Nothobranchius furzeri: one gene and its partners. The protein of the gene in region 1 interacts with the protein of each later gene in a pairwise test. Links are inferred from orthologs where the notes say so. Each region holds a gene or a part of one and is shown in the gene's direction. Other genes may lie near its edges. The genes, in order: banp, ppic, foxm1 and rab3ip.

Region 1 (5,365 bases):
CAAATAAAATTCAAATGGGCCTAATGTTATTTGTGAAACTTGATTTTCCCCCTCTCAGACTATAAATATCAATCTAATGATCAAAATCTGTGATTGTTGCATCCCAAATTTTCTGGTCACGTGACATTAACATTTTTGTCAGGTGACAGAACAGACACAGAAGGAAGAATTGGAGGAGAGGCTGGAGGAGATGGAGAAGGGGAAGCTGGAAGCTCACAATTGAGGGTGAAAAAATACATTTGTCATAAGATTTTGGTTCCTTATTTATTTCGAACAAATAAAGATTGAGCTGTAACAAAGCAGGCAAAACAAGGACGCCAGCAAAAACACCTTAATAAGAAATGGTAATGCATGTAATGTGGCAATTTAAATAATTGCAAAATTATACACATTAATAATATAATTTGTTTGAAAAGGAGTAGGAAGTTTATTATCCCTTAATTAGATGAACACACACCTTCAGTATCTGCAATAACAATGCTAAAAAACATCTGAGCTTGAAAATCAAAATATAACATCGAAGGGAAGTGGCCATAACAAATCATTCCTAATTTTGTCAGTATTTGGTAGAAATTAGTCCTCTGTTTAGCATTGTTACTAACTGCCTCGATCACAACTGTGATCCCACATCACGTTGAAATCAGGGCTTCCAAAGTTCATTTCCATCCATCTGTTATCAAGTGAAAGTAGCAAACTGCCCCAGAGAGGCAGGAGACTCATGGGTGAATCTTGTACGGATATGATGAGAACAACAGTAAATTTTGCTAATAATTTAGTATACGACAGCTGGTATAGCAGAAGGTCTAATCGTGTGCATTGAGTCATGGATATTTTATTTAATTTCTACCCTCCTGTAATATTCCACTGGGTGCTGGTCCAAACATTTTAAAGGATTCTATTTTCACTTGTACCAGCCAGTAAAGATCTATAGACCTCGTGAATGTTGTTGTTTACATCTGGGCAAAATGCTGGAAGGCAAAATGAGCTTCTGCAGCTGCTATCCAGTCCTGTATCTCCACGATTTAAGTAAAAAAATTTAAACCTAGGGATGTAGGTATTACAATTTTTGATCGTCTAAGACGTCTTTGTGCAGATGATCGAAAAGTTAGATCTTGAAGCTGAGGGTGTTACAGGGATACTATGCAACTTTGAATATTTTAAAATCATTTTCCTGAGCCAGTATGTGCTAAAAGGACTGTTTACAAGCTTAATGTGTCCAGAATGTCACACTTGCAACTTCAGAGTTGCCGGGTTTTACGTGTACAGGTGAAACTTGAAAAATTAGATCATGATATAAAAGTTAATTTATTCCAGTAATTCAATTTAAAAGGTGAAACTAATATATGAAATGGACTCATTAACAGCAAAGTCACATATTTAAAGTCTTTATTATTGTGATGATTATGCCTTACAGCTTATTAAAACTAAATTCAAAATCTCAGACAAATTAGAATGTTTTGAAAAGGTTCAATAAGAATCAAAGTGTCACACTCTCAGCTAATGAATCCAAAACACCTACAAAGGATTCCTGACCCTTTAGATGGTCTCTTAGTGTGAGCTGAATAACCAACATAAATGGACTTTTACACCATATTCTAATTTTTCGAGATTCACCTGTACGTCTTCATTAAGATAAATTTATGGTTTGTGTGAACATTAATTTGACTTTTGAAAAAAACACTTGTCTTCCCTGGGGTGGCCAGCAATTTTTGTAGGGACTTGGCAGTGTGATGTCACATGTCAAGCGGTCTGTCAGTTTGATGAAAAAATATATTTGTTAAATTAAATAAATACTATTGAAAGTAGTTAAGTTGAAGAGTTTGAAACTGAAAAAGCAATTCGAGCCAGCCAGGAGTCGAACCTGGAATCTTCTGATCCAACATATCTATTGCGCCACTTGCCCGAAATATGAAATGCAGCCCAATTTTCTGATTAAAAACAGGATAAATACTAAAGTTTCTTATGTTTACATGTGCAGGGATACATTCTAATTATAGTATTTGATTTTCATTGCATAAAAAACCTTTCAAAACACATAACGGATCCTTTAAAAATATAACTAGACTTCGTTTTCAGCCTCTCAGTTGGTTTTGAGCGCCCTCTACAGGCAGCCATGATATACCCTGGCCAGATCCAGGAACAGAGGAGCGGAGCGGACGCAGCCTTTTCTCTCGCGAGGAACGACGCCGTTATCGGAATCCCCACAAACAACACGAGAATTCGTCATTCACACGGTAATATAACCCAATCTTACACGGTGCATGTTGTTGCGTGAGAGCAAAGGAAGAAGAGGCTTAATCAAAATGATCTTTATTTGCTGTATTCAACTCAACAAATCTTCGTCTGCTATCAAGCAGCCACAAGGCCTAACTAGCATGCTAACTACTAAGCTAGCTTAAATAGCGTCTCATTTCGCGCATCTAGCTTTATCGCTGGCAAGCAAGCTCACAAATCGGATGTTGTGTAGCTGCAGCTAACATTAGCCACCAGCTATCTAACAATTTTCAGCTTGCAAATCCAAATGCAAAGTTGAACAAAATGCAGGTGCAACAAAATTAGTTATGACACACAAAATTGTTGCAAAATAAGTGGTATTTCTGCTGCATGTAGAGCCTCCCGACCTCTAAATGGAAGCTAATGATTGCAGGTTGCAGTATAAACGTTGCAAGCAACTCTCGAAATAAGATTAGTCAGTTAAAAAATATATTAATGGGCAAGGATGTTAAACTGAGGAGATTGGCAATAACTAGCTCAACCATCAGCAAGACGTTTGCAGCTTGCAGGCCCAGCACTGCATCACAAAATCCCACTCAGTTTATTGTTTACATGATGTTCGAGTATGCCTGTTTTATGGATTAATTCTCTACAGAAACCATGAGATGTGTTCCTCTAAAATAAAAAATATGGAAGAGTAAAAGGAAGTACAAATTTATGCAGTTTATATAAAGGATTTATTGATACTTTGATACACGTTTCCACAGTTTTGCTCATGCAGCAGTTGCATGGAGGTCCTAGCTAAATATAGGAAATAAACACATAATTTTTTTTACAAATTATTCAAAATAGTAGACAGATTAAGAAATTGTAATATTTTTACCACTATTAATGAATTTGCTCAATTTTAGAAAGTGATATCTCAGAATAGAATATTATTATTATTGGTGCCCTATTGTGGAGATGTTCATAATCATTTAGAAAACTGGCCTTTAATAGAAATGACATGAAAAATTAACTTTAAAGGACAGATAGAATATACAAATCTCCAGAAAATTAAAAGATTAGCATTCCTTGAAGGATTCCATCATTCATGAGAGAATTTCATTTAAAGTCCTCTTTTTTAGAGGGGGCTGTTGGGAGTTGTATCTGTTTTGGTCCAGTATTGAAAATAACATTATGGGCAAGCTCAAGCAATATCACAAGATCTCCCACTATTTGTCACACCCTCCCTCACACACTCATATTTCTGCACCACCGCTGTCTTTTATGGCTAAAGGCTTTTTTTTTTTCATTTTGTCCTCAGATGGTTCTGCTGTTAATGTCACTAAAACTTATTTTTTCTGCTCTCAAACCAATCAACGGTACTGATAGCGTGAACAGCTTTGCCTTCAGGCGTGATACAAGTTTTTTGGTCACCCAGACTTTTATATGCAGTTATGTTAAAGTGGTACTTCAATGAAAAAACATTTAAAAATGATTATATCTGATTATAATCGGTCACTTTGAGTTTTTGATGCAGGCTGAACATGAAAATAGTCTTGTACACCTGTTTCCTGCAATAGCTTTTGATAGACAGTGAAATGCTAGGATTAAAAAATCCTGACAGATCTACATCATACTGTGACTTCACATTCTTGGACTCACCCATTTTGACTCACGATGGGGAAGGCTGTTGTCATTTTCCCATCCAGGAAAAAGCAGAGAATGTCTCGGCTTGTAGAAGCTAACTGTTAGTATTAGCAACTCCACCACATTGCAGAACTCCTCTATTCTTGTGTTATTTGCAGAGATAAAACATCAAGAATGTAAAGCAAATGGTAGAGTCTCTACCAGTGGTAGAGTCTCTTTGCTGTTAGCCAAACAGATGTCCAAATGTCAGGAAATAAGAGACCAAATCGTTCTGTGTTCAGCTCAACTTTGATCTGGCTAACTTCTAGTTTCTGAATTAGGCACACCGGAGCTTTGTTTCCCCAGAGTGCACCTTACAAGGCATTCGTTCCTACTTGAGACCACTGCAGATTATGTATTGTATGTGAGTAAAGTACCACTTTAAGAGCTTTAGTGTATTCCAATTTTTCAACGAAAAGTGAGCAAATGGTAATTCTACGGCAGCAGGCGTATCAAAACTTTGCATAGGTTATCAACTATACAGGAATGTGTTATATAATAAATATTCTCTTCTTTTCATGCCAGCTGTGAACAATGTCTGGGCAAGAGTTGGATGAAATTGTTCAAATAACAGTGGAAGATTTTGATCACAACAACCACTCTGGTAGGATTTCTTGTTATGTTACATTTTTACAGTGAATTAATCAATATTGACGTTTTTTACTTACCTTTTTTTTCATCAGATAGTTATATTCTTGAACGCAGCATTAGAAAACAACATTTTATCAGCCAAAATCAAATAAAAGTTGATTCTAAATTAGGTTTTGGGTCTGTTTTACTCTCTGCCGATTGTTTGCTGCACAGATTTATGCACCAGCCTTTTATATGGAATTGGGATTCAGCTCCAACTCGGATCTCCTGCTGATTACAGCATGAATAATACATGCCTGGACAGCAACTGAAATCAGCAAGAAGTGTGTTGGTGTGTCGGTTTGAGGGTGTCTCTATGTCTCGTTCATGCCAGACATGCTGGGCAATCACGAAGATGCTGAAGAAAGAACCCAGAAGAAGAAGAGAAAATTAAGCAACATCAACATCCAGGAGAACAATAACAGCAGCCAGGACTTAACTTTAATTAAGGTAGCAAGCCTGAAAGGATGGTGCTAAAAGTCCTTATGTGTGCACAAACATTCTTCTTTTTTATTCTCCTTTTCCAGAATCTTTTGGTGTCATTTAACGATTCGCTGTGCCAGCGACTGGAAGGAATTGAGTCCAAGCTACAGTCGTTAGACTCTACGTGTAAATCTCTCGCACGCAAACTAGACAGTATGACCTCTTGCAGCAAGAGTCCTGTCCAGGTTTCGATGGTCGCAGGGTCACCTCAGGGGGCCACTCAGACGTGGAACAAAGTCCGCTGGTAAGCTCTAAACGCCCAGTTTCCACGTCAACAAGATAAATGATGTTGTTATTAAATTTTAGCCATTTGTTACCAAATTGTTGTGATTTTCTCTTTTAGTGTTGTCCCACAAACAAATGTGAT
Region 2 (4,707 bases), on another chromosome or scaffold:
GTCGGCGTTAAAACTAATGAAGTTATTTGATGTGAAAAAATAAACTTTTTTTGTTCAGGTCACAGTATTTATGGAACCACGTTTGCAGATGAAAACTTCCAACTGAAACATCTCGGAGCCGGCTGGGTGAGTGTATGCTAACACACACTCAGGCATGTCCACGCTAGGGATGGGTACCTTTGACATTTGAATCGATTCAGTACTAATTCCCGGTACCTACGAATCGATATCGGTACTTAATGGTACCAATTTTCGATACTTTTGAGTGTTTATTATTTTAATTATTTTATAATTAAATGTATATTTTTCTCAATATACAACAATATTTGATAAATATCACGATAAATAACATACAACAGTTTGTATTTTAACATCGTCCTTGTAGTTTTATAAGCTGATAATTAAACTGAAGCAAACATCTTTACTGTGAACTAAATTTACTGTGTATCTTCATTCCTTTTGCTGTCTTTTTTCTTTGATTTTTCCTACTGGGAAGTTAGAATTTCCGAGGAGAAAGTGAACACACCATTAGCTGATAACAACGGTGGCAATGGAAGCTAACATATCAAGCTAACGCCATCTTTAACAGTTTATGTAGCTGCTGGAGCAGATTAAAACGATGATGCCTCACACTTAGATCGTTGTCGCTGGTTTCATCTTCACCCAATCACCCGTCGCATTTAGTAAAGTGAAGCCAAACTTTAGACCGCGTTCATGTTCTTCTAGTCAGAAATACGGAGTTCCGAGGAGAAAGCGAACGCACCATTAGCGAAACGGAAGCTAACATATCAAGCTAACGTTATCTTAAACATTTTATTTACCTACCGGAGCAGATTAAGATGAGGATGTCTCACTTAGATCGTTGACGCTGGTTTCATCATCACCCAGTTACCCATCACATTTAGTGAAGTGGACCCAAGCTTTAGCGTGCGTTCTTTCTACCATGCTGCTCTGTTTACAACTGGCTCGCAGCGACCGACGACATAACGCTCTTGTGCATGCGCAGCTGTCTAGACAAGTTCTCGTTATGAAGGACGGGTACCGAAACGAGGCACCGTTTCAAATGACGTGAATCGGTGCTCGATCGGTACTATGGAATTCGGTCGGTGCCTTAAAAAGTACCGAATTCGGTACCCATCCCTAGTCCACGCGCATGCACACACTCAGTCATGTCCACGCACATGCACACACTCAGGCACATGCACACACTCAGGCATGTCCACACACATGCACACATTCAGGTCACAAAGGTGTTTTTCATTCAAACATGCCTACAGGAAAGCCTTTTTGTTTTCTAACTGCAGATGGAATTGGGACTCGTTTCTGGAAACTGGGAAACCAAAACAAAATATTTTATTTTTCTGTTTGTGTCTAAAATGCCTTCTTAGTTTTTAAACCCAACTCCGGGCTCGGTACCGGCTCAAAAAGGAATCTTCCCATTTTAAAAGGAATTTGGATGTCACAGAACTACATGGCATGAAGTGAGTAATTGTGTGTGTGTGTACCAGGTGAGCATGGCCAACGCCGGTCCAGACACCAACGGGTCTCAGTTTTTCATCCTGGCCACCAAAGCGCCATGGCTAGATGGGAAGCATGTGGTCTTTGGGAAAATTCTGGATGGGATGGTGAGTGGAACCTCCAACGTTCTCCTAGAACAGAGAAATGTAATTGAGTAAGTGACCTCCAATTCACACTGGGTGCGTCTGCAGCGCGTTACAGAGATGCTGCGTCTCCACGGCTAATAGAAGCCGTTATAATCAATGGCAGGGGTACTCAACTCCGGCCCTTGTTGACCGCAAACCTTACTTTAGTCTGTTTTAGGTGATGAAAAGGCATTTGAGCTGCTGATCAGGTGACTCAACATTAAGTCAGGTGTGTTGGAGCAGAGAAACAACCCAAAGCTGCGGGACCGGGGCTGACCCCGGTTTCACACTGCAAGCATCAGCGGAACGGAGCAGCAGCGGGGCGGCTCACTCGCCAACTTCAAAGCGCTCCTTTTCACACCGGGAGAGTCTTGGCTGCGGCACGGCTGCCTTGCTGCACCTCGCTGTACCCGCGAGATTCTAAAATCCCTCGAGACTTCCGACACCTTCCTCATCGAGAGATCACAACCTCCGCGAGGAATCACACCGTTGCACTTCTCGAAAGAAACTGGTGGTAAACAAAGCCGTTCGGTCACACGTACTGACGTAAGTTGTATATTAGGGCTGGACGATATAGCAAAAAAGTATATCGATAAAAAATATTTTATATTGATCGATATCGATCATTATTGAAAAATATTTTAACAATTGTAGAAAATATTTTACGTGCACCCTGGCCACTTTATTTTTGGTATTTAGATTTTTTTTCTCCGCCTCTTCTCGCCGCTACATCTTTAGGGCTGCCACAAACGACTATTTTAGTAGTCGACCAATCGTGTCGTTTATAAAAGTTTAGCTTATTGCACCAGGAAGCCCTAATATACCAGCATTAGCTTCTAGTCTGAAGTGTGATCAGCTATGGGCCATCTAATAATAAAGACAAGATGATAGCTTATCAACTTAAATGAACTTGTAACCTGTTGATACAAACGCTACAACCACGTGGAGGTAGGCACCTAAAACTAGGGATGGGTACCTTTGACATTTGAATCGATCCGGTACTAATTCCCGGTACCTAGGAATCGATACCGGTACTTAACGGTACCAATTTTCGATACTTTTGAGTGTTTATTATTTTAATTCTCTTTTATAATTAAATATATATATTTTCTAAATATATAACCATTTTTGATAAATATCACGATAAATAACATACAACTGTTTGTATTTTAACATCGTCCTTGTAGTTTTATAAGCTGATAATTAAACTGAAGCAAACATCTTTACTGTGAACTAAATTTACTGTGTATCTTCATTCCTTTTGCCGTCCTTTTTCATTTGATTTTTCCTACTGGGAAGTTAGAATTTCCAAGGAGAAAGCGAACGCACCATTAGCTGATAACAACGGTGGCAATGGAAGCTAACATATCAAGCTAACGTTATCTTAAACAGTTTATTTAGCTGCTGGAGCAGATTAAAACGATGATGCCTCACACTTAGATCGTTGTCGCTGGTTTCATCTTCACCCAATCACCCGTCGCATTTAGTAAAGTGAAGCCAAACTTTAGAGCGCGTTCGTGTTCTTCCAGTCGGAAATTCGGAGTTCCGAGGAGAAAGCGAACGCACCATTAGCGAAACGGAAGCTAACATATCAAGCTAACGTTATCTTAAACATTTTATTTACCTACCGGAGCAGATTAAGATGAGGATGTCTCACTTAGATCGTTGTCGCTGGTTTCATCATCACCCAGTTACCTATCACATTTAGTGAAGTGGACCCAAGCTTTAGCGTGCGTTCTTTCTACCCTGCTGCTCTGTTTACAACTCGCTCGCAGCGACCGACGACATAACGCTCTTGCGCATGCGCAGCTGTCTAGGCAAGTTCTTATTATGAAGGACGGGTACCGAAACGAGGCACCGTTTGAAATGACGTGAATCGGTGCTCAGTCGGTACTATGGAATTCGGTCGTTACCTTAAAAAGTACAGAATTCGGAACCCATCCCTACCTAAAACCAAACATGACTTGTGTTCAGAGGCATGGTGGCGAGACTGAAGCGCTTCATCTTCCAATCTTCACTCAGGAGATAGCAGAACACACCAAGATATGCCTCTGTAGCACAGCTGGTCCACACGTCAGCAGTCAGGGACCATCGACAGCTCTGAGGGTCTGCTTTAGCGTAAAGATAAAAGATATTAAAGTTAGTTTAATTACCAGATTAATAATTCTGTTAAATCACATAAAGTAGGTTAAGATTTAACACAAAGAAAATGTTTTATGCTTTAAAAATATTAGTTTCTTGATTGTTCAGTCAGCAACCTTTTTATTTGATCATAAATGCTTTTTATTTTACTGTTTATTTTATTTGTATCCAGAGAGAAACTGACACACACACACACACACACACCTTAAAAGTTGTGTAACTCTTCTTTTCCATGATGGTGGTGAAGTGGGACCAGCCTGGTAGATGGTTGTTGTCATATACATGTCTGTAAACTCCACTGTAACGTAGCGGGATGAGATAAATCATTAGCGTTTGTAATCAGAGCAAAAATACGTGACATACAAACGAAAAAATGAAGTGGAGACTCCTTGGACGCTCTATTAGTGCAATTAATACCACAGCAAGTCATTTTGTCCAACAATTGCACAAAAAATATCCAAAACAGAATACACACACACAGAGACTCAAAATGACCGAGCAGTTTCCAGGCCAGACCGAGGCTCTACTGAGGCCTTTCCCCGGAGCTAGCTCTGTGGTCACGTGGGTCTGATGCTCATTAATTATACAGAATTTTAGGCTTTTAATACACTTAAACAGAAGAGTGAGAAAAACATTCACCCCCCTCAGAGTTGTCATGATTGTAAACTAGATCATTTAAACCAAAAACATGTTTTGGTACCAGGATGTAAACATGTTTATTTCTGCTGTGAAATTGGTATTTTTAACATGGGAGTCAATGAGGATTTGCTCGCTTCTGACACCAGCCCCTAGTGGATGAGGGTGGAACTGCAATTTTAGGTACTTCCGGGATGGCCTCAATTTTTGAGCCGCATTGTGGGGGCTTGTTTGCGACTCGACACTTTCTCCGATGATGAAGGCTGAGCTGGATGGCCACCTCTGC
Region 3 (4,608 bases), on another chromosome or scaffold:
ACTGGTTACAAAATGTTTTTTCTGACTTGGCTAACTCTGGGGAATCTAACAACACACACGAGTTTAGGGACGGAAGATCCCTATAAGAATATTAAAATAATAAAAATGCAGCAATAAATAAAACGTAATACTTGTGCTTTGTAACAAAGTAACACTCTGTGGAAGTTAACTTGGTGAACTTATTCACCCTGGACAGGAAATAGTTGCACATAAGAAACAAATAAGAATAAATTAAAAAAAAAGTTCCAAAACAATCATTTGTGTTCAAAGGAGTGGAGCCAGTCTAGGGATGGGTACCTTTGACATTTGAATCGATCCGGTACTAATTCCCGGTACCTAGGAATCGATACCGGTGCTTAACGGTACCAATTTTAGATACTTTTGAGTGTTTAATATTTTAATTCTTTTTTATAATTAAATATATATTTTTCTCAATATATAACCATATTTGATAAATATCACAATAAATAACATACAACTGTTTGTATTTTAACATCGTCCTTGTAGTTTTATAAGCTGATAATTAAACTGAAGCAAACATCTTTACTGTGAACTAAATTTACTGTGTATCTTCATTCCTTTTGCCGTCCTTTTTCATTTGATTTTTCCTACTTGGAAGTTAGAATTTCCGAGGAGTAAGCGAACGCACCGTTAGCTGATAACAATGGTGGCAACGGAAGCTAACATATCAAGCTAACGTTATCTTAAACAGTTTATTTAGCTGCTGGAGCAGATTAAAACGATGATGCCTCACACTTAGATCGCTGTCGCTGGTTTCATCTTCACCCAATCACCCGTCGCATTTAGTAAAGTGAAGCCAAACTTTAGAGCGCGTTCATGTTCTTCTAGTCGGAAATTCGGAGTTCCGAGGAGAAAGCGGACACACCATTAGCAGAACGGAAGCTAACAAATCAAGCAAACGTTATCTTAAACATTTTATTTACCTACCGGAGCAGATTAAGATGAGGATGTCTCACTTAGATCGTTGTCGCTGGTTTCATCTTCACCCAATCACCCGTCACATTTAGTAAAGTGAAGCCAAACTTTAGAGCGCATTCTAGTCAGAAATTCGGAGTTCCGAGGAGAAAGCGAACGCACCATTAGCGAAACGGAAGCTAACATATCAAGCTAACGTTGTCTTAAACATTTTGTTTACCTACCGGAGCAGATTAAGATGAGGATGTCTCACTTAGATCGTTGTCGCTGGTTTCATCATCACCCAGTTACCCATCACATTTAGTGAAGTGGAGCCAAGCTTTAGCGTACGTTCTTTCTACCATGCTGCTCTGTTTACAACTCGCTCGCAGCGACCGACATAGCGCTCTTGCGCATGCGCAGCTGTCTAGGCAAGTTCTCGTTATGAAGGACGGGTACCGAAACGAGGCACCGTTTCACATGACGTGAATCTGTGCTCAGTCTGTACTATGGAATTCGGTCGGTACCTTAAAAAGTACAGAATTCGGTACCCATCGCTAGGAGCCACACAACATGAGTTCATAAAGCTGGTGCAATCTGCTGGATAGGTAGCGCAATATCGGTCATCTTTTTGGCCAATAACCGATACGGTTAATGACTCCAATATCGGCCGATATATCGGTCGGGCCCTAGTTTTCATGTATTTATTTGAGGTAAGAAAATGCAGGTGAACCTGGAGCTGTGAGGTCATCTTATTGCAGGAGGTGATCTGAGAACCAGAGAGGCTGAAGAGGCTTTCCCTTGTCTAACGCTGGTTTATACCCACTCACAAATACAGCTATTTTTTTTATCCATAAAAGGAGTCAGTTGGAAAGGGTACCGTCTTTGTCAGCATTGTTAATAAAGTTGTATTCATTTGACTATTTTAAAGTGATGGTGCATCTTTTCGTTTTCCTTTCCATGTCAACAAAAGAGAACGGCTGCTGTTGGCAGAAAAATACCAGCCTCTTCTGGTGAGTTAAGGACTAGGCTGGAGCCTCAGAGTTCCCAAATCCACTTCTAGTTTCCAGAAATGACTCAGACTCATCCTCAGAGCCCTACTTGTGCTGCTGGTTCATGTTCCGTGTCTCCTTGTGCTCAGAGAGAAGGATGAAACCGCTTCTCCCTCGAACCGAATCCTACTTGGTTCCGATCCAGCTCCCTGTGGCCTCTCCGTTGTATCTGTCAACCCCGTCTGCCTCCTTTAGCTACGCTTGCCCCAAGCAGAAGCAGACCTTTTCTCGAGGGGCAAAGAGAGTCCGCATAGCTCCTAAGGTAAACCGCTTTTTAGGCACAACTTGTTGTAATTTTCGATGCCAAAGGAATCTAACATATTATTTTCCATGAAAAGGTGACACAAAGCAGCATCTCGGTTGTGGCTGAATCTCCTCCCAAGATCACTAACCTGAAGCTGGAGATAAAGGAGGAGCCAGTTGATGTTCCAATAAGATGTGAGACTCCCATTCGTCCTCCGAAGAGACAAGCCAGCAGCTCTCGACGCAAACAGAGCCTGGCTAACTCGCTGCACGAGGAGCCTGTTCTCCTCTGTCCTGATAGTGACTTCTTCGACTCTGGTGTAGCTTCTGATGTGTCGACGTTCCAGGACGTTCTGGATGTCGGGCCGAATGAGCAGCGGCACAGACAAGACAGTCCTGACCGGGGGTTCTCCTTCAAGACTCCGATAAAGAGCATCACCCACCTGACCTCTTCCACCCCCAGCAAACGCTCTTCTGCTGGACTCGAGCCATGGCTCGTGACCCCTGTGGGCAAAGGGAGCCAAAACATTCTGGACTTCAGTCCTATTCGCACTCCAAGCGGTCCTGTAGCCACGCCCCGGCACGAATACACCACCTTCAGTCTGAACAGCACTCCCTTTAAAGACCTGGCTCTGTTCAGCTCCCCCCGGGAGTTGCTCACCACGGCTCCCTGCAGAGTCACCAGATCAACGGAGTCGCCGATCGGACACCCGCAAAGCAGCTGCTCCAGGGAGCTCCTGCAAGCCGGCAGCGCCACGCCCACTAACCGCTCGCTCACGGAGGGCCTCGTGCTGGACCTCATGAACGACAGCCTGAGCAAGATTCTGGTGGACATCAGCTTCACGGGTCTGGACGAGGAACTGGGCATCGCTAATATCAGCTGGTCCGAGTTCATCGGGCAGGTTTAGATCACTGGAAAGATAAACTGCAGAATTTGGAGAAAACACTACAAACCACACACACACACTCTTTATTGCTTTAATGAAACTTTATTGACAAACCGCAGGTTGATTTTTAAATATTAACGCATCTTTATGAATATATGTTACAAGAAGAGAGCCGTCGTCTCTCTGGAACAAAACGAGCTCCTTTTTGCTTTGCTTGAGCTGATTTTTGCTGCCGTTTCTGGTGAAGTTTGAGATAAACGACAGCGAGGCTTGCTCACTCGTGCTTGGCTGTTTCTCTGCTAGTTTGGGTTTGTTTGTTTTGCTCATTTAAATCACTTATTGGATTATTAACGTCCGAACATTTTAATCCACAACTGTCGTTGAAAGAAGATGAATATTTAAGTGTATAAATAAGTTGATTTGCACATTCTAATATATGATTTACAGCACTTCCATCTGCAAGTGGGAAAGAGTTTCTGAATATTTTAGAAAGATCTTTCTGTGCCTCGTGGTTCAAACAGCGTTTGGAACCGCATTAGACTGTAGGAGTAAGAAAGTATTACTATTATTAGCACTAACAGCAATAGGATTGTCTCTGTTTACTTTAGAAATGTACGTTGTTGTTTTAATTCTCACTGACTGGAATGTTTTTGCCATCTTCCAGATCTGATCAGAAAGGAGGATTTGTGTCTTCACATTTAACATCAAAAGGGACTAAAGAATATTTTATTTGTATTCTCTGAGAAAGCTTGATGGCTTTTATTCTTGTCTTGAAGCAGAATCAGCAAAATAGAGGAAAACATCTGTGTTGGTGCGTGGAAGATAGCATGGAAGTTTCTTTAGAGACCAAGTTTGTTGGCACAAACTATTGTGACTTCATTTTTTATGCTACATGTGAGTGAAAATGTGTAGTTTCGCTTTCTAGAGCTGCAGGTGATTACTTCCTTTCATCGGTGGAATTAATGAAGTGAGGTGTAACGTTTCTGGAAAACTCAGTCTGAATACACATTTCTACTCTTGTGTAAATAAAAGTCGACAAGAAGCACGAACAGTCTGGCTCAGAAAAGTCTTTATTGTAGAAGGATGTAAAATTAGGACTTTGTGTGGCTTTGAAGCTTAAAAATACATTTTATTTACAAAAGTGGCAAAACACGAACAGGTGAGAATCTTCCGTGTTAAAAGTTTTTCTCTGTAAAGGATCCTAAATGTTTGGCAGGAACGGAATACTTCCAACTATTTGAAACTTAAAGAGCAAGTCGCCCCCAAGCAACTCTATTTTTTTCTGATAAACTATAAAAATGCGTGTCTAATCGTGCTGCAGACACGTGTGGTTACTAGTTTGGCACTTTAGTGCATTTTAGTTAAAATTTAAATTGCCTAAAGCTCAGTGTCCTGCCGTTGTCAGGTTAAAAACTGCATTGCATTTGAATTTAAATCTGCCATCGCTATTGGCTAAGAGGTACCCTAAAATGATAGCTGGTACCATATGATGTCACAATGTTGTGAGCCTG
Region 4 (5,495 bases), on another chromosome or scaffold:
AAAACAAATATATACCCATTTCAATTATTTATTTTTACCAGTGAAACCAATAGAACATCTCCACATTCACAAATATACATTTCTGACATTCAAAAACAATACAAAAACAAATCAGCGACCAATATAGCCACCTTTCTTTGCAAGGACACTCAAAAGCCTGCAATCCATGGATTCTGTCAGTGTTTTGATCTGATCACCATCAACATTGCGTGCAGCAGCAACCACAGCCTCCCAGACACTGTTCAGAGAGGTGTACTGTTTTCCCTCCTTGTAAATCTCACATTTGATGATGGACCACAGGTTCTCAATGGGGTTCAGATCGGGTGAACAAGGAGGCCATGTCATTAGTTTTTCTTCTTTTATACCCTTTCTTGCCAGCCACGCTGTGGAGTACTTGGACGCGTGTGATGGAGCATTGTCCTGCATGAAAATCATGTTTTTCTTGAAGGATGCAGACTTCTTCCTGTACCACTGCTTGAAGAAGGTGTCTTCCAGAAACTGGCAGTAGGACTGGGAGTTGAGCTTGACTCCATCCTCAACCCGAAAAGGCCCCACAAGCTCATCTTTGATGATACCAGCCCAAACCAGTACTCCACCTCCACCTTGCTGGCGTCTGAGTGGGACTGGAGCTCTCTGCCCTTCACCAATCCAGCCACGGGCCCATCCATCTGGCCCATCAAGACTCACTCTCATTTCATCAGTCCATAAAACCTTAGAAAAATCAGTCTTGAGATATTTCTTGGCCCAGTCTTGACGTTTCAGCGTGTGTGTCTTGTTCAGTGGTGGTCGTCTTTCAGCCTTTCTTACCTTGGCCATGTCCCTGAGTATTGTGTTGCACACCTTGTGCTTTTGGGCACTCCAGTGATGTTGCAGCTCTGAAATATGGCCAAACTGGTGGCAAGTGGCATCTTGGCAGCTGCACGCTTGACTTTTCTCAGTTCATGGGCAGTTATTTTGCACCTTGGTTTGTCCACACACTTCTTGCGACCCTGTTAACTATTTTGAATGAAACGCTTGATTGTTCGATGATCACGCTTCAGAAGCTTTGCAATTGTAAGACTGCTGCAGCCCTCTGCAAGATATCTCACTATTTTTGACTTTTATGAGCCTGTCAAGTCCTTCTTTTGACCCATTTTGCCAAAGGAAAGGAAGTTGCCTAATAATTATGCACACCTGATATAGGGTGTTGATGTCATTAGACCACACCCCTTCTCATTACAGAGATGCACATCACCTAATATGCTTAACTGGTAGTAGGCTTTCGAGCCTATACAGCTTGGAGTCAGACAACATGCATGAAGAGGATGATGTGGACAAAATACTCATTTGTCTAATAATTCTGCACTCCCTGTATAATAAATAAAAGTATCATAAAATAGATAATGGATACATAACAATAGCATAACAATACATAAAACGCAAACACTTGTTTCAAACTAACATTAAGCTTTATGAAAAAATATTTTTAAGACGTTTTAATTTGAAACATCAAATTAATAAATTGCCCCCCCCCCCCCAAAAAGGAGATAATATGAGTTTGACATTTTAATTGGAAATTTGCATTTATTAGTTTGTGTTTAGCGCCCTCTACTGGGCAAATATAATACAACTCTGTAGTTTTTGGCGCCCTCTGCCACCTGCGTGCTGTTTAATTGGACTTCTGGAGGAAAATGTTGGGAAAACACCAATGTTTATGATTTACTTTGAAAAATAAATATATTTATATTAAAATTAAAGGCTTCACGTAAATGTATAAAAAATTGTGCAAAGAACGCTTATCCGTAGGACGTTTAATGTTTTCATGTGTGCTTTATTTTATGTTTTAATGTCATTATGGTAGTTGTTTCTGCAGACTGCTTTGAAGAGCTTTAAACGCTGGAGTGCAGTGCGAAGTCAAACCGGATTGGATTGCTGCCTTCATGTACAGTCGTGCAATTTCCCAGTGTTCCCTGAACGCGTCTCTCGTCAGGCTCTGCGTCAGCCAGTCGCTCCGGTGTGTTTGATTGTTTGTTTTTATTTGTTTGTTTGTTGGGCTCATTCGGCACGTCTCTGGGGCGCAGGTCCATCGGTACGGATGTCCACACGGTGAGTCCACCGCAGACGTTTCCCGTTAATCTGGTCGTTTTTTAGCCCGGTTGAGCGGACTAGTTTAGCCCGCTAGCTCCGATCATTTGTACTCATTATTGGATAATGTAGCTTTGTGTTTTTGCTTTCCACAAACAAAGTGGGTAAACACTCATGTTGTCAGTGTTTATGCATATTTTCTACAATCGTCTCGCGATGAGACGTTATTTCCGTGCATGTTTGATGCGTTTGGTGTCAGATAGCCGCGGCTAGCTTACCAATACCAGCTGTTAGCTTGTCTGCTAACACCTAGGATCACCTGAAACAGGTGAGTTTGTGCCTATAAAACACGCTCTGATTCCGCCACACGAGCTGCACTTTAACCCTGAGAACGGTGACATTACAGGTAGCTCCACTATTAACCATTTTAAGACCCAGAGAGGCTGTTTGTTGCAGATCGTTTTACGATAAAATGATCAAAATACTAAGAACCTAATGCAAGAATTTACTTATGTAATAGGAATAATGGTGTTTGTCAATTTTCCAGGAAACAAATCTCAACCTGGTTTCCAGTCACAACAACAGTAATTTATGGATTTGATTATTTTGCAAATTAGATATAAAACCAGCTGGTTGTTGGGTAGGGTTAAGGTTAGGGATAGGAGTTAATCTGAATTTATTTATTTATTGATTATTTTATGGGGTAATTTAATGTTAAGTCAGTTTATTTAAAACATATTAGATTAGATTTTCTATCATTTTCCTTTACATTAACATGTACATTTATATTATCTAAAATAGTTGCAATCAAACAAAAATAAGTTTTTGAAAGATAAGGACGCCGGCTGTGAGATAAAAGTGTAAAAGGTAACTCTGGGGACTGGATCGGTATGCAGACGTGTCTCATTCGCACACATTGGTGCTTTTTTCGCACTGTGAGTGCTCCAGCCATCTTCTTCTTTCAACTTTGATTGTTCACTGACTGCTGCGCTCCGATTAGTGAGCGCATGATGTGCAGAAGGGTTTGCTTTTGAAACAAAAATACATTTTCTATGCTGGAAGCTAAATTAAAATAACTATCAGCTGAGCAGTAAAACTCTGTGTCCTGGTAACTCAGTGGATCTGAAACCTCAAACCTGCTACTTTCCTCCCTGTAAAGCTGTTCGATGCAACAATTTCTGCTGAGTAACATAAAACTTACAACACAAAGTAAAACGAGTCGTACTCGGCCAACTTCTTCCTTTGGTTTGTGATCTGATGCAGATGCAGAATGTCCCTTTGGTTTTGAGTTCCTCGACATTATTTGTGTTTTGTTTTTAGCCATTCGAGGTTCAGCAGCTCATGCTTTGGATCTTTGCTGAACAGGAGCATCAATCGGCCTCCAGGGCCGCCGTCACGTCTGCCTATCTGATGCAGTGTCTCCCACCTGCCTCTGGGTGCCATGATGAGGAGATAATTGGTGTTTGAGCTCACCTGGAGGTCAGAATGTTCTGGCTGATCAGACTATGAAATATTAAAAACACAAACGGTAAAAGCAGCAAGGCTTTAAGTCCTGCTGAAGCAGATTAAAACGGAAACTCGTCCGCTGCAGGCGGAAGGCAGCAGGTGAATGTTCTGCTCCATCAGTGGAACCCTGGTGGAACCCAGCGTTCTTCCTGTGTGGAACAAAGACTTTGTGTTGTGTGAACGTGAGCTGTTTCCACGTCAGTTTGGGACGACAGAACCCATATGTAGTAACTCGGGTCGGCCAGAGGAACTGGATCTGTGATCAGCATCCATCATCGTGTCGGGTTACCACCAGCTCTCCAGGACTGGTTTCCATGGAGACCCGCTGTGGGAGATAGGTTGGCTTGATGCCGGTGGGTTTTCACCTGGCTTTGGTTCATCGTTTTAGGTTCTGAGCTACGAAATGAAACCGTTTGGCGTTGACGAGACCTGCATGTGTGTTTGTGTCACCATGGAAGGGATTCTGGGTTAAAGGTCATCGTTTCTAATTCATATCATAGAAGACGTACGCTTTTATTTACATTTTGTTTTCCGTTCTAAAGTCCCTCCTACTCAGATTAGGATTATGAGACTGGATTTTATTTGCTGAGTATGTAAACGGAGCCTTGGGCTGCAGAAAACGCCTGGTGGCACTGTTGCCTCGTAGCAAGAAGGTTGTAGGTTCAAACCCCGCCTGTGGCCTTTCTGGAGTTGGCATGTTCTCCTCATGCATGTGTGTGTTTTCTCCCACGGATAACACACACACACATCAGCTGGATTGACTGCACTATGATCTGCATCCTCTGAAATTCGCTCTGGATAAAAGTCTCTGCCAAATAAAAGAACATTAAGAAAAAACTGGGTGAGAAGAGAAGGAAGGTCCAGCTCAGTAGAACTGGAACGATCAACAAAACAACAATTCAACCTCCTTCTGGGTTGTTTTCTAGACTTGAGACACGCGTTTCTGTCCCTCCTGTCCTCATGAGTCTGATTTAGATTCTTGGGTCCATCTGAAGAATCCGTCAGTTTGAAAACATTCATCTAAACCTGCGGTTTATAAAAAAAAAACGTGTATTTTGTTTGACTTGATGTTGGGGAGCAGGCAACGAGGCTCCGACAGCCTGATGCTCTTCAGCTGTAAGCGGGTGTGAATGTGCTGAGTGGGCAGAAGGTGAGCTGGTGTTTACACGCACAGATGGATCTGGATTGATCCAAATATTCGTTCCACAGACGAGTGAAAAACGCAGCCGTCAGGAAGCACTTAAAGACTCCATTAATCAAGTAACGCAGCAGCAGCCTGAGAGACGAAACGCAGGGCAGAGACACCGCACCCAGCTTCCTTCCCGCTGGTTTTCTAAGCTACAATAAAAGTTTATTATGAAAAGTTTGGGTTAAACTGTGATGACCAGGATGTGGTTCCTCTTCAGGGTTTAGCCATGACTCGGCACCTTTAACGGGCCGGGTCTGCTGGACGGCCACATTAGTGATGCTAACAGAAGCCATGAGAGCTGTGGTCCGGTTCTGTTCCGTGGACCGTCTGAGGGCTAAGAGGGTTTGATCTCTACCAGAACTTTCCTCAGGTTCAGCTGTTCTATTAATGACACCTGACGAAAGTGACTCCTCTCCTTGTTCCAGGTGAGTCACCTGTCCCGAGTCAGCTGTTTACCTGAAACCAGAGCCTGCTGGCATCTCCATCCACCACGACTATGGTACACACACACACACACGCACACGCACACACACACACGCACACACGGATTTCCTAAGTGTCTGTTTCAGAGCTTCATTTAGATGTGGTTTAGATGTTTGAGTTTAACTCCTGATCACAGCTGCAGCTGTTCAGAAGAGCTGCTGCTCACTGAAGGTAACGTCTGGTGAAGAGGTGCTCTGGTCACGGGAGCAGGCCTTGAGATGATCGATCAGGAATGAATGAATAGATGGAGAGA

Evidence for each region.
Region 2: the proteins of banp (region 1) and ppic interact in binary tests that used the Homo sapiens proteins (3 or more experiments, as listed by UniProt). The two-hybrid records come from large-scale screens. The link is inferred for Nothobranchius furzeri from reciprocal best matches to the Homo sapiens genes BANP and PPIC.
Region 3: the proteins of banp (region 1) and foxm1 interact in binary tests that used the Homo sapiens proteins (3 or more experiments, as listed by UniProt). The link is inferred for Nothobranchius furzeri from reciprocal best matches to the Homo sapiens genes BANP and FOXM1.
Region 4: the proteins of banp (region 1) and rab3ip interact in binary tests that used the Homo sapiens proteins (3 or more experiments, as listed by UniProt). The two-hybrid records come from large-scale screens. The link is inferred for Nothobranchius furzeri from reciprocal best matches to the Homo sapiens genes BANP and RAB3IP.

What each region holds. Positions count from the first base shown.
Region 1 is NC_091744.1:74,163,429-74,168,793, reverse strand, and holds the start of banp (protein BANP), read left to right. Parts: upstream 1-2,120; 5' UTR 2,121-2,234; intron 2,235-4,166; exon of another isoform or gene 4,167-4,249; intron 4,250-4,410; 5' UTR 4,411-4,419; coding exon 4,420-4,489; intron 4,490-4,849; coding exon 4,850-4,965; intron 4,966-5,042; coding exon 5,043-5,242; intron 5,243-5,341; coding exon 5,342-5,365. UniProt on the Homo sapiens protein: Controls V(D)J recombination during T-cell development by repressing T-cell receptor (TCR) beta enhancer function. Binds to scaffold/matrix attachment region beta (S/MARbeta), an ATC-rich DNA sequence located upstream of the TCR beta enhancer.
Region 2 is NC_091750.1:37,263,065-37,267,771, reverse strand, and holds part of ppic (peptidyl-prolyl cis-trans isomerase C), read left to right. Parts: intron 1-58; coding exon 59-126; intron 127-1,505; exon of another isoform or gene 1,506-1,508; coding exon 1,509-1,625; exon of another isoform or gene 1,626-1,645; intron 1,646-3,616; exon of another isoform or gene 3,617-3,754; intron 3,755-3,989; exon of another isoform or gene 3,990-4,083; intron 4,084-4,707. UniProt on the Homo sapiens protein: PPIase that catalyzes the cis-trans isomerization of proline imidic peptide bonds in oligopeptides and may therefore assist protein folding.
Region 3 is NC_091741.1:41,398,039-41,402,646, reverse strand, and holds the end of foxm1 (forkhead box protein M1), read left to right. Parts: intron 1-1,888; coding exon 1,889-1,928; intron 1,929-2,056; coding exon 2,057-2,229; intron 2,230-2,305; coding exon 2,306-3,118; 3' UTR 3,119-3,268; downstream 3,269-4,608. UniProt on the Homo sapiens protein: Transcription factor regulating the expression of cell cycle genes essential for DNA replication and mitosis. Plays a role in the control of cell proliferation. Also plays a role in DNA break repair, participating in the DNA damage checkpoint response.
Region 4 is NC_091741.1:38,160,347-38,165,841, forward strand, and holds the start of rab3ip (rab-3A-interacting protein), read left to right. Parts: upstream 1-1,950; 5' UTR 1,951-2,085; intron 2,086-5,184; 5' UTR 5,185-5,258; intron 5,259-5,495. UniProt on the Homo sapiens protein: Guanine nucleotide exchange factor (GEF) which may activate RAB8A and RAB8B. Promotes the exchange of GDP to GTP, converting inactive GDP-bound Rab proteins into their active GTP-bound form.